Linked DNA regions of Canis lupus familiaris. The protein of the gene in region 2 interacts with the protein of the main gene of each other region in a biochemical or structural test. Links are inferred from orthologs where the notes say so. Each region holds a gene or a part of one and is shown on either strand. Other genes may lie near its edges.

The links. The genes of interacting proteins can lie anywhere in the genome.
Region 1: the proteins of CTSB (region 2) and CSTA form a complex in vitro, tested with the Homo sapiens proteins (3 studies listed by BioGRID and IntAct, with this or other methods). The link is inferred for Canis lupus familiaris from reciprocal best matches to the Homo sapiens genes CTSB and CSTA.
Region 3: the proteins of CTSB (region 2) and CSTB form a complex in vitro, tested with the Homo sapiens proteins (2 studies listed by BioGRID). The link is inferred for Canis lupus familiaris from reciprocal best matches to the Homo sapiens genes CTSB and CSTB.

Annotation. Positions count from the first base shown.
Region 1 is NC_049254.1:26,109,852-26,114,695, reverse strand, and holds the start of CSTA (cystatin-A), read right to left. Parts: upstream 3,161-4,844; 5' UTR 2,956-3,160; coding exon 2,890-2,955; intron 1-2,889. UniProt on the Homo sapiens protein: This is an intracellular thiol proteinase inhibitor. Has an important role in desmosome-mediated cell-cell adhesion in the lower levels of the epidermis.
Region 2 is NC_049246.1:26,190,263-26,195,054, reverse strand, and holds the start of CTSB (cathepsin B), read right to left. Parts: upstream 2,934-4,792; 5' UTR 2,825-2,933; intron 1-2,824. UniProt on the Homo sapiens protein: Thiol protease which is believed to participate in intracellular degradation and turnover of proteins. Cleaves matrix extracellular phosphoglycoprotein MEPE. Involved in the solubilization of cross-linked TG/thyroglobulin in the thyroid follicle lumen.
Region 3 is NC_049252.1:37,607,342-37,612,028, forward strand, and holds CSTB (cystatin-B), read right to left. Parts: upstream 3,161-4,687; 5' UTR 3,068-3,160; coding exon 3,002-3,067; intron 804-3,001; coding exon 702-803; intron 523-701; coding exon 394-522; 3' UTR 112-393; downstream 1-111. UniProt on the Homo sapiens protein: This is an intracellular thiol proteinase inhibitor. Tightly binding reversible inhibitor of cathepsins L, H and B.

The DNA.
Region 1 (4,844 bases), on a different chromosome or scaffold from region 2:
ATTGATTAAATTTCTTCACCTAAAGGTGGTTTTGGTAATACCTGCTTCTTGGGGTTGTTTGTGGGGAGATAAACTTTATCATTGATAGGTAAGTGCTTCCTAAACTGATCATTCCTCTGCCTTCTAATACATAATTGGGAATTGTTCCCTAAGGTTTTCCTGTGAGAGCAGTGCCAAATGATAACTGGGAACTTAATACCCCAGGAGCTGAATTACTACACAGTAATTATTCACCTGGAAGTTAGGAGCTTTGATGGGCAATCTCTAATGTCCTTCCTGGTTACAGACCTACAATTTAAAAAATGTTCCTAACTGGAGATTGTTTTATTATTATGTTCCAGTTATCTTGACTTCTCTAAATGGACTGTAAATCCCTTGAGGGCAGGGGCCAAGTCTTAAAGTCCTTATGCATCTTCTACAACATTTAGCACAATGCTGGACACCTTAGAGATATTCAAGAAATGATTTGCTGATATTCATTTCTCAAATTGATTTAAATCTGAGGCTTACTGCTTGCACAGATAAGGCAACTTTCCATACCATGTATTTCCCTCAACTCTCATGCTTCTCTATGTTCCTGCCACTGTACAGGGGAAAAGGCAGAAGGTCAAAAATCTGAAGATAGTCTAGCTTCTTAACTAGGCAGATATTAATCTCTCTGAATCTCAGTTTGAAATCTTATGTGAGAAATGGACATGATGATTTCCTTCCCTGCTCCAGGGGTTATGAAGATCAAAGGAGAGGTCGCATGGAAGATAGGGCTTTTGAAACTTCAAAGCAACTTTCCGGGGTGATGTAGCTATTGCTTTTTTTTTTTTTTTTTAAGATTTTATTTATTTATTCATGAGAGAGAGAGAGAGGCAGAAACACAGGCAGAGGGAGAAGCAGGCTCCATGCAGGGAGCCTGACATGGGACTCGATCCTGGGTCTCCAGGATCACACCCCAGGCCGAAGGCGGTGCTCAACCGCAGGGCCACCGGGTCTGCCCTACAGCTATTGTTAATACCAAGCTCTCATTCTACCTCCTTGGCAGGGCTGGGGCCTGAGGTAAGCAGGAAGAAACACATTTTCAAATTAGTTTCATAATTTAAGATGTGGCTCACAGATGGATGTTTTTTTAACAATGCAAGGCCTTCTTATAGCTTCTTATTAAAAGAAAAATTATTCTTCTAAAGAAGATAGGCTTTTTAAAAGTCATTAAAATTTTCTGCACACTCTCTATAAACGAAATCTCAGTTATTTCCCCATTTCCCTTACAGCTCTGGTCCCTAGAGAGTCTCAGGGGGAGTTTCCAGGGTCATAGGTGAAGCAAAGATTTGAAGCAAATACCTGTGATGCCTCACCTATGCATATTTCTTTCTTGTTTTCAAGTCATTGTTATGCACATCACCTTATGTAGTTCTTACAGCACGGAGATCAGCAGAGCAAGAAGGTGATCTTCATCTCATAAGTAGAATTGAGAATTTTTTTGCAGTGCTCAGCATTTATTTATTTATTTATTTATTTATTTATTTATTTATTTATTTATAAAAGATTTATCTATTTATTTTAGAGAGAGAGAGCAAGGGGAAGGGCTTTAAAAGGAGAGGGAGAGACTCTTAAGCAGACTGTGTGCTGAGCTCAGAGCCTGACGTGACCTGAGCTGAAACCAAGAGTCAGAGGCTCAACCAACTGCACCACCAAGCACCCTCTGTGCTCTGCTTTTAGAAAGCCCATCTCCCATAGGCCTCTAGAATATCATGTATCTCCAGTCCTGTAGGCCACGAGGTCATGGACAGCAGCATAAACATCTCTTGGGAGCTGGTTAGAAATGCAGGCTCTCAGCCCACCGTACCATATCTGCATTTGAACAAGGCCCTCAGGTAATTTATGTGTACATTGACTTTTGAGAAAACTGAACTGATACAGGAACTCAAATAAAGGTATTAATGACTCAATATTACCCATTAAAGAAAGAAAAGCTACAAAGTATATGTTTTTTAAAAGAACTCTTGAAAGGGAAAGATTTATCCCCAAAGAATGTAGAATTCCAGGCATCCAATCTCTGGGGAGCACTCCAGAGCCCTAACATAGAGATCCTATCTCTTTCACTTACACAAGAAGTTGATCTTGTTGGCCAGAGTCATAGAATGAAGTTTCACAGAGAAAAAACAAGGAACGATACAAGAAAATAGGGGAACAATTTAAAAACCTAAAATAGTAACTTATATATATTTTCTTTTCATAAAATATGCAGTATAATAAAATTTTATCATATAGATGATAGCCAGTGAAACAACACTTAGAAAAATATATCAACTTACTAAAAACATTGAGTTCTGTTTTCACCATAATCAATTTTGGAATCACCATAGACTATGCCACGCCTCTTTCCTACTAGTTTAATCATCTTCTAAATATGAAGAGACTGAAATATTTTCTATTAGGCAAATTGGCAGGAAGTGTGTAAGTGGATTGTCTTCGCAATATTGTTCTTCCTTTAACCCATTTAAAAAAATCTCCCTGCAGAGCGTGTGAAGTCTAGTTCGTCAAATTGTTAACAACTTCAGACTTTAATTACATGTTGGCTCCATTTGGTAAGATTAGAAGCTTCAACAGACTGAATTAGTAATCCTAGAATCATACATTGTAAGCCTATAAAGATGAGCCAATATAAATTCTTTTATTAATGGGGAAACTGAGGCTCAGAGAAGGGATGTTACTTGCTCAAGATCACTCTCATAGGATTATTAGAGGTTTCATCTGAAAAAGTTTTTAGTTGTAGGGAAGGCTGAACAAAACCCCACATTTCTCAGTGTTCTGGTTTTCAAGTTCACCCACACGCTTAAGACGGCCCACCTAGGAACCAAGATATTAGATCAATCCTTTTCATGAGAGACATCAACTCACCTCATTAGCAATCTCCTGGACTTCTGGAGTGGCAGGTTTGGCTTCAGTTAAGCCTCCAGGCATCATTTTGGCTAATTGCTTCTTTGCTAGGCAGGATGCTGGAACTGAAGTGATCCAGTAAGCGTGGAGACTCTGGTTTTTAAAGAGGGTGTTGTTGCTCAAACAAGCTCCGCCTCCAGAAAGTTTTCTTTTTCACAAAGAGCAAAAAGGCACAAGGAAAATGAATATGTCTTGAAGCAAGCCATGGTGCTTCCTCAACAGAATATGCCATTAGGGGTTTGGGAGAATGAGGGTTGGATACAAATGGGTGTATCCAGGGAGCAACGTCGTCGCGGGGAGTCAGACTTCTCTGCATTCTCTTAGACAATAGTTTCATCCTGTTGCATCTGAGGAATGAAATCTGGAGCCACAACCAGTTTCCCAATGCTTTAAAACCTCCAATACAAAATTTTATACTTTAAAGGTATATTTATTTATTTATTTATTTATTTATTTTTTTAAAGGTATATTTATTAATAACATCAAGGCCAATTGTTTAGAGTTTACTTGACTTTATAAAGAAAGTAAAAGGGTCTTTCTGGAGAACTTTGGTTGGATATTTGTATTTTCCTTTTTCTTTTTCCTTCCTTCCTTCCTTCCTTCTTTCTTCTTTTACATTTCTAGAACTGCAGAAAAATGCAAAGAATAAAACAAGAAGCACCTATATTTCTATCACCCAGATGTAAAACTTTTAACGCTTTATCTTACCTTACTTCCCTTTTTTCTTTTTCTTTTCGTAGTTGTTTTTTAAGAAATATAATATTACTAGCCTCTCATTCCCACTTCCCCCTAACTTTGCCCTCCACAGAGGTAAAATTCACTGTGGGTTTGGAATCCTTTTAGCCCACTTTATATATTTACTTAATGTGTTTTTAAAAATTTACTTAAGTTGTATGCTAAACACATACTGTCTATATACTTTTTTCTGCTCAACATATTTTTGAGTTGAAACACAGATAGATCAATCTAATTGATTTCCTTTAAAGTTATCCTATGATAGATTTATCTATCATCTATTCTAACCGCTATATGCTATTCCACATTTTATATACTCATTCCCCTACTGATAAAGATTTGAATTATTTCTAGTTTTTTTACCCTTATCAATAATATTGCATTTTTTTCCTTTTGTACATGTGTGATGGCTTCTGCAGGGAAATTATCTAAAAGCAAAGTTGCTGTTTTATGTGGATATTTATCTGCCTTATTTTATTCAATTTTTGGAGTATATGACACACAATAAAAATGTTCAAAAGGAACAAAAGAGTTTATTTATTTATTTTTAAGAGTATATAATATAAGGAATTCTTCACCCACTCAATTCCATAGCCACCCTTTTATTCTCTAGAGACTACTGTCATGAACTTCTGTATCTTTTAGAGATATTCTTTACATGTACAAATATATAAATACTTAACTACACACATACATATGTGTGTATATACTTTTCTTCTATAAATGGTACAAATGGTATCCTACCACATAACCTATTATATACTTTGCTTTATCCCCAACAATATATTTTGGAGACTGTTTTATATTATTATATTCTACATTAATACTTTCATATTATAATTAATTAATATGTAATATATTTTATAAATTATATATTAGAAAGGTACTTTATTCTTGATAAAGTTTGGCAGGTGCTTGACAAATATTTGGAGGTAGGTAGGTGTTTTACTGGATAATCTAAGGAGTGCTATGCAGATGGATGTCCATGGAATGCCCTCATGCATGTACTGAGAAAAACAGCAACTGTGAATGACATAGTGCTCACTTAAGAGGCCACAATCATCTTAGCACTTAGCTCTGGCACAGATAATCCTTGACATCTTCCTGTGACCTTTCTAAGTCAGGTCCTCTCATATCCAGGCCTTCAACTTTTTTTCAAGGCCACAGTCCATTTCTGCCTC
Region 2 (4,792 bases):
TCACTGGACAGCATTCTGTAAGTATCTAGCAAAACAGAAGATGCACATGTCTTATGACCCAGCAACTAACTGGACTTCTGCTTTTGCCCTGGAGAAACACTCAGGGGTGCCTGAGAGATATAAGGATTTACTGCAGCGCTGCCACAAACAACGAGAAAGTAAAAACCACCTGTCTCTCTGTAAATACTCTACGTTTGGTATGAATGAATGAACAAGACCTTCGTGTATCAACATAAATAATAAAGCTCATGAACAGGCAATGGAAAAGGATACAACCAGCACAATTACAGTTAATAAATTTTAATAGCATTGTTCATGGATTGATACAAAAGTATTAAAAGCACAAAAAAGAAAGACTGAGGGTGGGGCACCTGCAGTGGCTCAGTGGTTGAGTGTCTGCCTTCGTCTCGGGTTGTGATCCTGGGGTCCTGGACTCAAGTGCCGCAATGGGCTCCCTGTAGGGAGCCTGCTTCTCCCTCTGCCTGTCTCTCTCATGAATAAATAAATAAAATCTTAAAAAAAAAAAAAAGGACTCAGGATTTATTGCACACACCCCCTTTCTTAGGCAGCTTCTGGAGTGTGCTCGGAGCTGAAACGAAGAGGTGAGGATATGGGATGGGGTACAAACACTGCTGACTGCCGCCCAGCGTCCACTGAGTACAGTACACAGCTGCACATGCCCCCACTACATTCATCTACTTGTCAACCCCCACCCCTCTCTGCATGTGAAGCTGAACCATAAAGTACCTGATCGCCACCCTTCTTGATCTAGAAAAATTCCCAAATATCATCTTAACATTTTCCTTGTGTCAAACTATCTAAAAAAGGCTGCAGACGTTGAGCCTTTGCTCCGAAATAGTCCAGTCCTTCCCTCCGGAAGAAGGGGATATCCCACACAATCACGAGGCCTTACCACATTTAAGAAAATTACCCAATGGACACTTTCTGACTCCCCTGAATGTGCTCTCTCTTGCTTCCCAGCCCAACAGAGATACAAAACATCTCTTACCCCTAAAATGTGTGCCAACTTACTACCCCAACTCCCAGGTCCTCTAATGGAGGAAAAGAAAGGACCAGTCTCTGAGAAAGGCCTCAGTTCAAGCTGCTGAATCAGCAGCACCTGGGCAGGTTTATCCTGAGGCTAAAGGGCTCCCACCCTCACCACCTGACCAGTCGGGAAACCAGCAGGGGAGTTAGTGGAGCCAGGGCTGGGCTGGCTTGCAAAGCCCCCAGATAAGGAATCTACATCCTTCCACTGCTGAGTGGCAATAACCCAGCTCTGGGACAGAGCTGCCCAAAAAGATGTGAGGGGAAACTTTCTCCAGGGCACCGTCAAAACCCTCTCTTTGGGAAAACCACACAGGGTGTGTGGGGGGATGCAGCTCAGCCCCTTCCTATATAAAGCTCAAGGGCTCTAGGTCACTATCACCAGTGCCAACAGGAAATAAGTCTCAGGGCGCCTGGCTGGCTCAGTCAGTAAAGCATGTGACTCTTGATCTCAGGATCCTGAGTTCAAACCCCACGTTGGGCACAGAGCCTACTTTACAACAAAACAAAACAATTCTCCATTATTTAAGGATGTTATGGAAGAAAAGCAGCCCCTACCAAACCAGACAGCCTCCTAAGCCTCTTCACTTTCCTATCATTCTCAAACTATAGAGTCAACTAGATAAATGCATCCCAGCTGCATTTCTGTCCGGTGGATGCACTGAGGATCAGTTTTTTCTAAGGTAACTAAAGATGCTAGCTGTCCATTTGAACCCCTCCAGCTCCCCCTCCCACCGGGTGTGAAGGACTGGCGGAGGGATGCCGGCGGCGGGGGTCCAGGTGCCTGAGGAAGAGAATGACCTAGGCCCACAAAGGGGCAAATCCATTTCACATCTAATTGGATGGCCTGCTGAGCCCGCCAGACTGTTACCCCTAAATGCTCCCCATATGCTGCTCCCTTTCGCAGACCTCCGGGGTCATTAACTAAAGGAAGAGCTGAGGCCTCAGGGTCTCTGCCCTGCTTTCCCCTCTCCCAAACAACCCGGGCCTATGTAAGGCTCAGTCAAGAAGTAAGGAGTGGCATCTTCCCCTTCCACCCCAGCCTCCCGGGGAGGGGAACTGGGGCTTCCAATGCCTAGACTCCTAAGCACTGCTCAGTTTCTCTTCCCATCAGTGGATCTAACTCATCATGTGGCCTCCACCCTACACCACCTAGTTCCAGGTTCGTTTTCTGGTCTCTGTCCTCTGGGGTCCCTGGAACTGTGTGTTCGGTTGTGGGCTGAGAATTGCCCAAACCCTATGAAATAAGAAAACACCTAGAACAGACGTAGGGAGACACTATTATCTCGGCAATTTCCTGAGGAAACTGAGGCCCAGAAGCTCACCAGGGGCCGGGGAGCTAGATTCTGGCCGAAAGTCACCGGGATCCCAGCCCAGCGCTTCCTGGCAGGACTACGCAGGCCCCCACGCCGGAGCCGGAGCCGGAGCCGGAGCCGGAGCCGGGCTGGCCGCGGACACAGCCCCGGGAGGAGGCGGAGGCGGAGGCCGGGGTCGGGGCTGGGGTCGGGGTCGGGGCCGGGGTCGGGGCCGGGGTCGGGGCCGGGGCCAGGCCGCCCACCCGGAGTTGGGGGCTTCTTGCTTTTCTCACCGCGATGACTTTCCGGAGCGCGCGGGCTGCCACCCCCGCCCCCACCCCGCCTCCTCGCCCGCCCCGGGATGCCGCGGGGCCGCACAGGGGCCCGGGCTCCCGGCCTCCCCACCTCCCCGCCTCCCCGCCTCCCCGCCAAGGTCACCTCCACCGCGGGGGCGCCGCGCCCGGCCGCCCGCCCGCACTCACCGAGCCCGCCGCCGAGAGCCTGGGCCTGCAGCCTGCGAGCCGGGCCCGCCAGCGCCGAGCCGAGCAGCCGCCCTGGCTTCCCGGAGCCGCCCCGCGCCTAAGTACCGCCCGCCCCGCCCCGCCGCGCCCCGCCCCGCCCCGCGCGCCCGCCCACTCGCCACGTGACCGCCGCCGGCCCCGGCCCGCCCCGCTCCCCCTCCGCCCTCCGCCCTCCGCCCCGCCCCGGCCCGGCCCGGCTCCGCACCCCTCCACCCGCCCCCGCACCCCGCCGCCTCCGCCCCGCACCCCCTCCGCCCTGCACCCCTCCGCCCCGCACCCGGACCCCCGCCGCCCTCCGTCCCGGCCCCGCACCCCCATCCCTCCGTCCCGGCCCCGGCCCTGCACCCCCGCCGCCTCGCACCCCTCCGCCTTCCGCCCCCTCCGCCCCCCCCCCCGCACCCCTCCGCCCTGCCCCTGCACTCCCTTCCGCCCTCCCTCTGCCCTCCGCCCGCACCCCGCACCCCCTCCGCCCGCACCCCAGGCACCCACGCCCCCACGGACCCTGCGCTCGCCTCTGCTCCCGGAGATCCCGCTGGGGGTGGGCTTGGCCCGGGGAAGAGGGACTCGGAGCCTCGGGCCAGTGGGGAGCGAGGGGAGATGAAGGTGGCCCGAAGGGTCTCCATCCAACCTGGACAGAGTCCCAGGGGCCGCCGCCGCCTGAAAGCAGCGGTTCGAAGCCTGCGGGATCCCTGCTTGCAGGAGGGGGTGACTGTCCCTCATTTCATCCATTCAGAAACCACTGAGTTGGGGGTATCATGATAGCAGGCCTCCCAGGGGAGCCTTTAGAGGCTCCTTTAGCGACGATAGTCTAAGAACGTGCCTATTAAAGCCTCCAGTTATGTAATAATAAATGGGTCTGACTTTCAGGACCTGCTTCAGGATTTCTAGAGAAGGACCTTAGGGGCAGAAATCCGTTTGGAAGAGGGGTCCCAATAGGCCTGTCCTAAAGGGACAGTATTTTACTTGGAGTTTATTTGGGGAGTGCTTACGGACGACGGTGGGGTGGCTCAAGACTCACTATCTCCATGAATCCCCGTGTTTCGAATCCTTCTGACAACTTTGCAACGTTGGCATGATCCCAGTTTTTCTTCCAGAGGCTCAGGAAAGTCTAGTATTTCATCCAGTGGCTTTTGGTAATAATAAGAAAGCTATAGGCCTGGTGGACTCCCAGAAGCCCTGGTGATGTAGTTTTTTTGTTTTTGTTTTGTTTTTGGGTTTTTTTGAGTAGTTCAGTCCGGAGACAGCAGACAAGAATTCTTGAGATATCTTTGGTGCAAAAAAAGTGATACTAAAGCATGGAGACATGACCTGTGAGGACAAAGAGCTGCTGCCCCAGGATTGTGGGGAGCTAGCCAGGGTTGGGTGAAGTAAAGAAAAGGGAAGTTCAAAAGGGACTTTCATATGCTAAATAAGACTCTTTTTTTTTTTTTTTTAAGATTTATTTATTCATATGAGAGAGAGAGACAGGCAGAGACACAGGCTGAGGGAGAAGCAGGCTCCATGCAGGGAGCCTGATGTGGGACTTGATCCCCGGACTCCAGGATCACGCTAAAGAAGACTCTTGGATTCCTGGAGGACCTTGCTATTGTCAGGCTAAGATTATTTTTCCCAACAGCAAAACATTGACGTTAAGACAGCTGGGAGCTTCCTGGAGGAATGTTCTACTCTGCGGATCTCAATATGGGCTGCAGGTTATAAGGCCATTTAATTTTTCCTGCATTTCCTTCTGTCTTTGTCTCCCACATCACTGGCTGCTATCTGCTGCATCTTGCAGATACCTGGCCGCCAGGTGTCACACAGTCCCCGTGCCTGCCAGGGCGCATCAGAGAGCTGTCTAGACACATGTACCTCTTTGGTCCCAATTAAAGAAAGGAGTCAAGATGGCCCCACTACAAGCTTACCCAGTCATATCTTGAGAACCATGGACTC
Region 3 (4,687 bases), on a different chromosome or scaffold from region 2:
CGCAGAGGTCACGAGGCTGTAAAACAGCCACATAAACACGTCACTCGCACCTCTTGATGCTTCTGGATGTGATTACAGTTTCAGATGAAAGAAAACACCAAAACAAAGGAGGAAATTCGCAAAGATCTACAAATATGTATTTAAAGAGACTATAAGCCCTCGATGAACGTAATGAAGGTCAGTGACTGTGCTGACTTTGTCTCGCCCACGGGAGTTAGGAGCAGGGACCAAGACAGGTGCAGGACAGCCTCTCCCTAAGTGGCCCTGCAAAGCAACAGCATTGGCTTTTTTTTTTTTTTTTTTTTTTTTTTCAGCATTGGCTTTTGATCCCAGACACGCCCAGAGAGGACGGAACCACACGGAACCACGTGGACGGGCCCGCTCAGAGCGGAACTAGAAGTACGCCAGCTCGTCGTGCTTGGCTTTGTTGGTCTGATAGCTGGACAAGGCCAAGGGCTTGTTCTCATGCGGGAGACTCTGAAATACTCGAAGGTGCACAAATTCGTCATCGTCAACTTGGACCTGGAATGGGGTGCGGTCGGGGGAGGGGAGTGAGGGGCTGGCAGGACCTCTGACCCCACGTGCCCCTGCTGGGCCAGCCTGCATGGTGTAGGCCCTGGAGTCGGGGAGGGGGAGCCCTCCAGGTCATCCCCCCCCCGCCCCCGGCCGCCCCCCTTCCCCACTGCAGCTCTGCCGCTCACCTTGATGAAGTAGTTTGTCCCCGCGACCACCTGGCTCCTGAATGTCACGGCCTTAAAAGTAGTGTACTTCTTATTTTCCCGCTCTTCCAGCTGGGCCTTCACCTGGGGGCCGGGAGAGAACGTTAGCGGCCTCCCTCCCGCGAGGGGAGCTCACAGCTTACCTGCTCACGTTAAACACTGTGAACAGTTCCCGTGCGGCCCCTTAGGTTTTCTCCACCACCACTGACTGTTCTTGATCGCGGAGGGACGCGGTCCACGAAGCGCAGAACACGACTCCCTCGATCTGCCCGTTTCCATGGTGGTGCCTCAGCTTACCTCCGCCCTTCCAGCTCCACGAACGTCACGGGGTCATTTAACATTCTCACCACGACAGCACTATATGCAGGTTTCCACCCGTCTTCCCTTTTACTTAACCCTCGGACGGGTCGCTTGAAAGGCTGTGTGTGATTTTTTTTTTTTTACTCTTAAAAATTGAGTAAAATGTTTCAAAATTTTCAAAATTTTCAACAAAATACAATCTTTAGTTGAAAGGTACTCTCCCTTCTTGTAGATGTGCCCCGGTTCTCTGCACCATTCCCCTACTGGGGCCACTACAGCTGTTCCTCAACGTCTCCCACAACACAGGATGCAGCGGATTCTGGGCTCTGCAGGTAAAAATCACTTTACTGATCTTTAGACGATTTCTTTAAGAAGCAGAGCCTTTGGGCACAAGCTGATCCTGATCATTTGTGTCAAAGAGCAGTCATACTTTTGGGTCAATGTTGTTTTCCAAAGCTGTGACCTTTTAGGAACTGAGCATCTTTATGGCAAAAGGAAAACAGGTTTGCCTTTTTTTAAAAAATAATTTTTTAAAGATTTTATTTATTTATGAGAGAAGAGAGAGAAGCAGAGACACGGGCAGAGAGAGAAGCAGGCTCCCTGTGGGGCGCCTGATGCAGAACTTGATCCCAGGACCCTGGGATCACACCATGGGCCAAAGGCAGATGCTCGACTGCTGAGCCACCCAGGCGCTCCCCCCCCCCCCCCCCCCCCCCGCTTATAAATTTAAAATCTAAGCTACTTTACAAGTGCTCTAGCTGCCTGCTGGGTTGACAGTAGGCCCTGGAGTGCACAGACTTTGTGTTGGAGGGACAGGACTAGTTCCAGAGGGTTGTGGGGTTTTGGGTCATCGGGCTGCAGGGCACAGGCTAGCCCCTGGGAGACGGGGTCGGGGGTGTGTGTGTGTGGGGGGGTCACCATCATGACACAGGTGGGTCACCATCCAGTGCAAACAAAGGCTGTGTGTGTGGCCCTCAGGGAGGTGCCCCTGCTGGGACAAAGGGACAGGAGGCTGGCCTCTGGGCAGCACGGGGCAGGCTGGTCACCGTCCTGCTGCTCCTGTGCTCTCTCTGTGTAACCGCCTCCCCACCTGGGCCTACCTGTGTCTGAATTCTCACCTGGAGCCCCCTTGTTTGGGCAAAGCACCATGCTAGCTCTGCAGTGAACGGGCTCTGCAGGCAGCTTACAAAGCTGGGGCCCAGGGGTTTGGGAAGGAATCACCTGTCCCTTCGCCTGCTTCAGGGGGTGGCGGCAGGGATGGTAAGAAAACCCCAGCGGAGGTGAGGGAAGGGGCAACGTGGCAGCCTCGACGATGCAGAAGGGCAGCTCCGGGCACCGGTACTGACCCGGGAGGGGGCTCGGAGTCCCGGCTGGGCTGGGGGGCTGGGGGGCTGCCAGTCAGCAGTCAGCAGCCTGCAGGGACGGGCCTGGGCGGAGGCGGGGGAGGGCACAGGGCAGGACCAGGACAGGACCGGGGTGCGGGGCGCTCCTGGGGGCGCTCCTGGGCGGGTGCAGAATGTCCCCTGAGCCGGGTCGGGGTGGCCGTTCGCGCAGGCCGGCCCGCTCGGAGGGCGCCTGGCTGCCTCAGTTTCTCCCAGTGGCAGCACCGCGTCAACACGGGCGGGAGCGGCTGGCCTGAGAGCGGCGGGGGAGGAAGGGCAGGGCCTGGGCCCGGGGCCGCGGGGAGGCGGGGCTCGCGGCAGTCACCGCAAATCCCTCATTTTCACGGGTCCCGTGGGGGTGAGTCACCGGCCCGGGCGGCGGGGAGGGGGAGGGGGAGGGGGAGGAGCGGGGCGGGGGCGGGGGTGGGGTGGGGGAGGGTGTCGGGCCGGGGCCGGGGCCGGGGCCGGGGCCGGGGCGGGGGCGGGGGAGGGTGTGGGGCCGGGGTCCCGCCTTCGCCCGGCTCCGCGCCCGGCTCTGCACCTGCGGCGTGCGGGAGGCCCCGAGGCCCAGCGGGAGCGGCCCCGCGCGCTGCCGCCTACCTGGTCGGCGATGGCCTGGGTGTCGGCCGTGGCGGGCTGCGAAGCGCTGGGCGCCCCGCACATCATGCTGGCGGCGGCGGCGGCGGCGGGAGCGCGGACGGAGGCGCGGGCGGAGGACCGAGCGGCGGAGCTCAGCGGAACCCCGAGCCCCGGAACCCGCTCCCCTTAAAGCGGGCGGCGGTCACGTGGGGCGGGCGGGGCGGGGCCAGGAGGGGGCGGGGCCACGAGGGGCGGAGTCGGGGCGGGGCCAGGAGGGGGCGGGGCCACGTGGGGGCGGGGCCACGAGGGCGGAGTCGGGTCCCCTGCTGCCCCACCCCCGCCCCCGTGCGCCCCAGGCGGCCGCCCCCGGGGCCCTCGCCGCGCGCACCGTGTGGGCGCTCGTGGTCCTGCCCTGTAGGGACGTCCCCGAACCGCGGCCTCGGTGTCCTCCGGTGGCCGGTCGGGCGCGGTGGGGGCGGTCCCCCTCGGGGTGGGCTCTGCAGGGGACGGTCTGGAGGCGCCCCCCGTGCAGCGTTGGGGCGGGGTGGGGGCGCCCGGGGGAGCGGGGAGCTGCCCGGGAGGTGAGAGCTTGCCCCGGGCCCAGGGGAGAGAAGCCCGCGCGGCCGGGAGCTGGGGGAGCGGGGGGGGGGGGCAGGAGCTGCAGGGGGGCCGAGTCCAGGGTGCGGCCTCAGGGCGCTCTGCATTCAACCGGCCCCGCCCCCCGCTTGTGCCAGCGGATCTGGACAGTCACCCGCATGTGACCCAGAGGCACAGGGAGGGCGGGGGGGGGGGGGGCGCTGGACACAGGAGGCTCCAAGCTGTCCCGGCAAGGGAGGAGCTGGCTCCCGGGGCTTCGGCCGGGCTGGGCTGGGGGCTGCAGGGCTTGTGGTCAGATGGAGGGCATTTAGGGCAAGACCTGGGTGAGAATTAGATTCAACCACCCAGGGATGGGGGAGGGTCCCACACTTTATTCGGGGCGGGGGTAGGGGCCGTGCTAGGAGCTGTCAGGACAGGACTGGTTTTTGAGAAAGGGCCGGGCCCCTGCCCCCCCATGGCCCACCCCTCGGTGGCCGCGGGCGTCCTCTCCCTGGGTGCTGACTCTGCAGGAGCCCACCCGCTCTGCCGGGTGCTGGGCTGACCTGGAGCCGCTGCCAGGAGCCTCCCCCGAACAGGTGTGTGGGGAGACAAGCCTTTCTGGTACCTGCTGGGGCAAAGCCCGGTTTGTAACTTTAGGAAAGGACGGAGGACAAGGTGGGAGGACAAGTGGTTGAGCCCGGGGCGGGGCGCTGAGGAGGAGATGGACAACCTGTTCACAGCCGCATGAATGTGCCACTGAGTCAGATTTGATTCCATAAAAATAGAAAGCAAAGCATCAGAAATTAATTGTCAACGTGGGGAAAGGCAGGCGGTTCTCTGGCTTTTCCTTGTCACATGGCTCAGTGGGCTTGGCCCTCCTCCCCTCCCCCTCCTCTCTCCACCCTGCCCAGCAGGTTTTGTTCCCTCTTGCATTGGGTTAAAAAGAAAACCACAGGCCCAAAATGGAGCCTTTAGGTCACGTCACCAGGCCGGGACCTCATGCCTAACCTAGCCACAACCTGCCCCAGAAATGTAGTCTTAACTGGCCAGTAGGAATCTTCTGGTGGCACCAAGGAGATCATCTGTCCCATGGGTTCTCCTCCTTCCCCCAATGGAAGAGGAGGGAATCTG